Arabidopsis thaliana: one gene and its partner. The protein of the gene in region 1 interacts with the protein of each later gene in a pairwise test. Each region holds a gene or a part of one and is shown in the gene's direction. Other genes may lie near its edges.

Region 1 (4,372 bases):
CAGACAAGCTTCATAGTGAAAGTGAAATGGAGTTTGATGATTTGGGAAGAAGAAGAAGAAGAAGTAGTTAGGTTTTATAAATGGACAAACGAAGCGTTGACATTTGCTTACACTAATAACAACGTGTCAATTGGTCTCATTGCTTCCATTTATTACTCCTTATTTAGCCTCACCATCTTCTTTTTTATAAAAAACACTTTGTTACAATCAATAAAATCTAATTTATAATTCCATCCTAATAAAAATTCGAGAATTTATGTCGTCGATTTGCGTTAGCCCACGCTCTTTTCACAACCTATGCAAACCAATATCCATAAATATACACAGTAAAATTTATCTAGACATGAATTACATATTTGAATCATTTGGTTTTGTTATAATAGATAGCAGTTGAATGTTTTTATTTTGTTACTTATTTCAGTTTCGTCAGAAGGGTAGCTAGCGTGTGAAAAATACCTGTAGTAGATCAAAGGATAATTTTTGATTGCTGACATTGTGGACTTAGTGAGACAACTTGAATAATTACATGAGATGGTCAGCTTCAATCTTTGATTTTTTCCTTTTCTTTTCTAAATTTTCAATCTTTTGATTAAAGCCTTTGTTATTTCAACTTAATGACGCGATTCATATACTATCTTTTTTCTTTGACACTCGCTTTCATAGTGCCAACCAACGAATCTATAATCAAAGGTTATATAAGAAACACCAAGCCTATACAAACATAATTTAACGCCGCCTAGTTTTGTTTATTCTGCACGTAACATATAAAGCTAACAGATATGCGACAAAATATCTATAAATTACATATATAAGTATATATAATATAAGAATGTTGGATGTATATATTAGTAGTTTAATCAATGAAAATATATCTTTATATCTTTATTAAAAAAACTAAAAATGTATCTTTATATACATTTCGTAGTTTAAAATCAAAATTCAAGATAGAGCGAAAATGATTTTTTTTTTTTTAAATGAACCAAAAGTACAACATTCCTACCTTTATTTTTAATAACTCGTTTATATTCGCCAATCAGACACACACATAGACTTTTAAAATAGTAAAAGTAACTTAGCCGATTATTTATGTAAAATATTCGTATAAAATTTTTATTAACAAATATATTTGATTTCTCATCTTATAACCTGTTTATTGATCAGATTACACGAAAAAATAACTAAACAGATAAATTTACTCGAACTGCATACAATAGAGATGTATTTGTGCATGAGTGTAGCCCAAAAATGTGTAAGGAAATAACACCCATTGGTAGGCCGAGACATGCCTGTACCATGGCCGCTGAAATAGTAGAAGAACCAAATACCTACCAAAGTACTCTTAAGCTAACGTTGACATGATTTAATTAGATTAACGATTGAGTAAACGACAAATTAGCGCTTTCGTTTTATATTAAAGACGCACGATATTTAAATGGCAACTATACATTAAAATTATATAAAATATATAACTATAACCAATTTGATAAATGAGAAAAATGTACGATATGTCGTACCACTCCATCCTGACTATGACTTATGGAGGAAGTCAATGCTTATCAACTACTTGCTTATCAATATCCTATTTATCACTATCAGTTTTTCTCTTTTCTATACATATATTATTTCCTATAGATCATGTTGGTCATAATGTAATCAACTTAAAATTTAAGATCTACTAGTTTGTGTTGAAGTATAACTGTATAAGCCTAAATTCGAACGTTAGTCTGACTTAATAGTTAATTCCATTTTGTTTTGGGTAAATGTTTCAGTTTCACTGCTGTTTGGAAAATCTTTGGACAGATATTGAGATTGGGCTTATAATATTTATTATTGGGCCTTAATTTAAGAGCCCTTTTATAGGCAGATACAAAAACGACGGCGTTTAACTCATCCGCTCAGCGACTTCCACATAGCCGTTAAAACGATGATAATAAACCCAATCCGGTTCATCTCCAACAGAAGAACGTAATAACTGATGCTTGTCTTCAAGTCAACCATGGAGTGTTCGATTTCATCCACCATTCATGTCCTTGGAAGCTGCAAAACTTCAGATGACGTGAACCAAATCCACGGGCGATTGATTAAGACGGGAATCATCAAAAACTCAAATCTCACTACGAGGATTGTTCTGGCTTTTGCCTCTTCTCGACGTCCGTATCTCGCCGATTTCGCGCGTTGTGTCTTCCACGAGTATCACGTATGTTCGTTTTCATTTGGAGAGGTGGAGGATCCATTTTTATGGAACGCCGTGATCAAGTCTCACTCTCATGGAAAGGATCCGAGACAAGCTCTGCTCTTGCTCTGTTTGATGCTCGAGAATGGGGTTTCCGTGGACAAATTCTCACTGTCACTTGTTCTTAAAGCGTGTTCGAGGTTAGGTTTTGTAAAAGGAGGAATGCAGATTCATGGGTTTTTGAAAAAAACTGGACTTTGGTCGGATTTGTTTCTACAGAATTGTTTGATTGGCTTGTATCTGAAATGTGGTTGTTTAGGTTTATCACGCCAGATGTTTGATAGAATGCCGAAGAGAGACTCTGTTTCTTATAATTCCATGATTGATGGGTATGTCAAATGTGGATTGATTGTATCCGCGCGTGAATTGTTCGATTTGATGCCTATGGAGATGAAGAATTTGATATCTTGGAACTCTATGATAAGTGGTTATGCTCAGACATCAGATGGAGTTGACATAGCGTCTAAACTGTTTGCTGATATGCCTGAGAAGGACTTGATTTCGTGGAACTCAATGATAGATGGATATGTAAAACACGGAAGAATCGAAGATGCTAAGGGTTTATTCGATGTGATGCCGAGAAGAGATGTAGTTACTTGGGCTACCATGATTGATGGGTATGCAAAGTTAGGTTTTGTTCATCACGCTAAGACTCTGTTTGACCAAATGCCTCATAGAGATGTTGTGGCATATAATTCTATGATGGCTGGTTATGTTCAAAACAAGTATCACATGGAAGCTCTTGAAATATTTAGTGACATGGAAAAGGAGAGTCACTTGTTACCCGATGATACGACTTTGGTAATAGTTCTGCCTGCAATTGCTCAGCTTGGCCGATTATCCAAAGCCATAGATATGCATTTGTACATCGTGGAGAAACAATTCTATCTAGGTGGAAAACTCGGTGTTGCTCTCATTGATATGTATTCGAAATGCGGAAGCATACAACACGCCATGTTGGTTTTCGAGGGAATCGAAAACAAAAGCATTGATCACTGGAATGCTATGATTGGTGGGCTCGCTATTCATGGTCTAGGGGAATCTGCATTCGATATGCTCTTGCAGATTGAGAGACTCTCTTTAAAACCAGACGATATCACCTTTGTTGGCGTTTTAAATGCTTGCAGCCACTCTGGGTTAGTAAAGGAAGGCCTTCTCTGCTTTGAGCTCATGAGGAGAAAACACAAGATAGAACCAAGATTGCAACACTATGGTTGTATGGTAGACATACTATCGAGATCCGGAAGTATAGAGCTAGCCAAAAACTTAATAGAGGAAATGCCTGTTGAGCCAAATGATGTCATATGGAGAACGTTTCTCACCGCTTGTAGTCACCACAAGGAGTTTGAAACGGGAGAGCTTGTCGCAAAACACCTTATTTTGCAGGCTGGATATAACCCGAGCTCATATGTGCTACTCTCTAACATGTATGCTAGTTTTGGAATGTGGAAGGATGTTCGTAGAGTTAGAACGATGATGAAGGAAAGAAAGATAGAGAAAATTCCTGGTTGTAGTTGGATTGAGCTCGATGGAAGAGTCCATGAGTTCTTTGTAGATAGCATTGAAGTTTCCAGTACATTGTAGATAAAACGAATGTGCAGCAATATATTTTCAAGGGCTTAAACCTATTCTGCAATTCCTTGGCATACATGAAGACAATGTCACATGGTTGGTTTTGTGCAGCTAAGATATGTCTGGAAAAAAACTTCCCACAAGATCACTTAAAACGTCTGAAAAGTGATTGTTTTTACAGCCTAAGTACATCAGCTACAGTTACAAGGAGATAAGATTGTTACATCATGAACCGAGTTTTTCGGATCCCCTATACTGAACCTAAAACAGAGTTAACATCAGGGGAATGGTGATAGTCTGAAACCTTGGTATGCTTTATATTCTTGGACTATCAAAAGCAAGAATCATGTTAAACGGGAAACTAATAATCCGCGGCGAGATTATTCAGTTCTTGGATAACATCTTCCATGGATGGTCTTTGGTTTGAGGATTCATGAGTGCAGAGAAGACCAAGTCTAGCGAGCTGAGCCGCTTCTACTTCCGGGAAGTTCTTTCGAAGATTTGGATCCATGAAGTCTTCATTCAGTCTTCCTGACTCTACAGCTTGTAAGATCATCAAATGGCTGA
Region 2 (3,450 bases), on another chromosome or scaffold:
TTTTCATTTTGGTCAAAATATTTGGGTCTTTGTTATTCAAGTTTATGTATAATCAAAAGCCAATCGTTAATGTTGTATATTACACTAAAGCAGCTCATTTACGGTCCTTTTTTCCATATTACCCATGTGTCAAAATATAATTTGGTAATCATCGTCAGATGTGACAAGCAGATAAGTTTTCTAGTTTGCTAATGTTAATTCTGTAATCATCGTCAAATAATCAGATTCAAGTTCAACCAGAAATAAAGCATTAAACAAAAAAATCGATCTTTTATCATTTCATGGCCAAATCAATGCGGCTAGCAAATTCAGCTTATCAATTACAACCAATTCTATAAAGAACAAAAAAATCAAAAGGTGGCTCAGAAGTGCTTGAAAGGTAATCACGAGATTAAAAAATCTCAATCATGTGATAAAAGGTCATTTTTTCTTCATCATCACCACCATTTTTGTTTTCACAGAAAAACTTCAAATACAAAATTGCAAATACCGTAAAACAACAAACTCAAGGTTGATCTTAAAAGGATAACAAAAACCAGAATCTGTAAGCTTTAGCTAGCTCGAAAAGATAATTTTGACAAACAGAGATTTAAAGATTTGCAGTTCTCAATAACTTCTCAGTGTATCAGTTGTATTATATATATAGTGAACCCAGAAATTAGGGCAAACCCTCTGTTAAAAGACCAAAATAGCCCTAACAATGTTCAATTATTTCGAAAATACTCTCACAGTTTCCTTGGTGTCTCCGCCATTACTCCAAAACTTCTGCTTCTTCGAAATTTCTAAGCCTTAAAGTTTGATAATTTATCTCGAAAGACATGGTTTTTTCCGTTGCAACAAGCTCTGTTACGAACCCAAAGCTCCATCATCACCACCATCTTAGTGACTTCAACAGAAACAGAGTATCTACATCTCTCAAGATAATGAACTCGAAGAATCACACAAACCCAAGAAAGTAATGTTCCTCTCTCTTTATTTTCTCTTTGAGGAATTTTAACGAACACGTTACGTGCATTCTTCAACAATGCATAACAGAGTATACATTTTTACAGGTGTGAGTGTTTTGATCTCTACGATCAATTAATTCCATACAAGAAAGCTTGGTCATGGCAAAAAAGCATTCTCAATGAGAAAAAAGCTTTGATTGATAAAAACCAAGAGTGTTCAGATTCATTAATTATACTACAACATCCTTCTGTTTACACAATGGGAACTGGAAGCTCAGAGAATTATCTCAATTTCGACATAAAGAATGCTCCTTTCGATGTTTATAGAACAGAACGTGGTGGTGAAGTTACTTATCATGGTCCTGGTCAGGTAAAACACAATGAGTCTCCTTTGTTTTCTTCTCAAATTCATCAATATTGAAGCTAATGGTTTGTCAATGAATGTGAAATGTAGCTAGTTATGTATCCTATAATCAATCTACGGAATCACAAAATGGATCTTCATTGGTACTTAAGGAAGCTTGAGGAAGTAGTTATTCGTGTTCTTTCTTCGGCTTTCGCCATCAATGCTTCTCGTCTCGACGGTTTTACTGGAGTTTGGGTTGGTATGTTTGTTCATAATCTTCACTTCTTACTGTGGTTTGATCTGATTCTTGCTAGTGAACTAATACATATGTATTTATATAGGCAACAAAAAAATGGCGGCGATAGGTATTCGTGTGTCGAAATGGATGACATATCATGGTCTAGCTCTTAATGTTACAACAGATTTAACACCCTTTAACTCCATAGTTCCATGTGGGATAAGGAACCGTGGGGTTGGAAGCGTAAAGGGTTTGATTGAGGATGGAGAACATTATAATAAGCTTGAAGATTTGCAGTTGTTAGATATAGCTCATGAGTCGTTACTAAAGGAATTCTCTGAAGTTTTTCAGCTTCAGATGGAAAAGCAAACAGTATTCAAATTGGAATGCTGAAGGATTTTGTGGTTCTTACTTAGCTTACAAGTGATTTATGGGATGGTGGTTATGCAGGAAACCTTTTGTGGACCAGTGATTTTATTGGCAGTTTGTTAAGTTGTTTGTTTTCTTGTAGATATGTGTGTGAGAGATTTGATTTCTCTATTTCTCTCTCCAAAGAAAGCTTATCTGCTTCTTGGATTGACCACAAAGGGATGGCTCTGGAAGCTGCTTTCTCCATGAGTTTTTGCTCCTTCTCTGTCCCTAAAGCAATCTTCTGTGAGAGAGAAACTTCATCTTTTCAACGAATCACCTCGAGAGCAAAGGGAATTGCGGGTGAGAGTCAAGTTCAAAGCTCTGATGGAGTTGAGACTCAAGTCAAGGAAACTTCTCCCAAAGTATTTGATAAACTGCCTGAAAGAAATTTAGATACTTGGAGCGGTGGCAGAGAAACAGCAAGAGGACTTTCAGGTTCAGTAGTAAGAAACACTGTACGAAAAGATACTACTTTACGACATATCTCACCTTCTAGTCATTCAACAAAGGTTAGAGGAGATAAGCCAGAGATTTCAGGGGGTGAGAAGAAAGCTATTGTAGATAGAAGCAAGGCCTACGTAAAGCTGAAATCTTTAGGGAAAGAAGTGAGAGACGCAGGCTATGTACCAGAGACTAAGTATGTTCTTCACGACATTGATGAAGAAGCTAAAGAGAAAGCCTTGATGCATCATAGTGAACGGTTAGCTATTGCTTTCGGGATTATAAACACTCCTCCAGGGACGACAATAAGGGTGATGAAGAATCTGAGGATATGTGGAGATTGCCATAACTTCATAAAGATATTATCGAGTATCGAAGATAGAGAGATCATTGTAAGAGATAACAAGAGGTTCCATCATTTTAGAGATGGTAACTGCTCTTGTGGAGATTATTGGTAGACTTTTGTATTAAAAGATGTGAAATTCTACAAAGTTATACTAAACTATGGGCATAAGCCATTTATGCAACTTCCAATGCTTTTTCCTCAAACGTTTATTTATCATCGAGTATTGAAGATAGATAGATCATTGTAAGAGATAACAAGACGTTTCATCATTTTAGAGATAGTAGCTGCTCTTGTGGAGATTATCTGCCAACTCTCTAACAAACATATTTACTCAAACTTGATCTCTTTAAAAGGCATCAGTGAAATGGACAAACACTAAATAAATAGGATCACAATTATACATACAAATCATTAATCATACTCTTACTAATTCAGTTTGGCTTGCTATTTCCTGTTTCTTAATAGCCTTGTACAAGGAATATACATAAGATGCAAACCCAAGGATCCCAGCTAACAGAGCTCCTCCCTTAAACCATCCAATGTCGTCATCCATAAACCGAAACGCCAACACAACGAAAATGTTCGCTACAGGTGTCGCGGAGAAGCTGACAACATTAGAGAAAAGGGAAGAAGCCAAACACACAAGACCCACAAGCCCTAAAGACATTACTTGCCATGCAAGTGATAATCCGATAAGACTCAAAACGTAAAGTGGCTTCCC

What was found. The genes of interacting proteins can lie anywhere in the genome.
Region 2: the proteins of CRR4 (region 1) and DYW1 interact in a protein complementation assay, tested with the Arabidopsis thaliana proteins (one study listed by BioGRID).

The regions. Positions count from the first base shown.
Region 1 is NC_003071.7:18,694,261-18,698,632, reverse strand, and holds CRR4 (Pentatricopeptide repeat (PPR) superfamily protein), read left to right. Parts: upstream 1-1,941; 5' UTR 1,942-1,975; coding exon 1,976-3,817; downstream 3,818-4,372. Other genes in the region: AT2G45360 (ankyrin repeat/KH domain protein (DUF1442)), read right to left, coding at 1-14; AT2G45340 (Leucine-rich repeat protein kinase family protein), read right to left, coding at 4,167-4,372. UniProt on the Arabidopsis thaliana protein: Plays a major role in chloroplast RNA editing. Acts as a site-recognition transacting factor to recruit C-deaminase. Involved in single RNA editing events.
Region 2 is NC_003070.9:17,483,547-17,486,996, forward strand, and holds DYW1 (Pentatricopeptide repeat (PPR) superfamily protein), read left to right. Parts: upstream 1-2,029; 5' UTR 2,030-2,121; coding exon 2,122-2,841; 3' UTR 2,842-2,917; downstream 2,918-3,450. Other genes in the region: AT1G47578 (Biotin/lipoate A/B protein ligase family), read left to right, coding at 819-955, 1,053-1,317, 1,402-1,552, 1,635-1,924. UniProt on the Arabidopsis thaliana protein: Plays a major role in single RNA editing events in chloroplasts.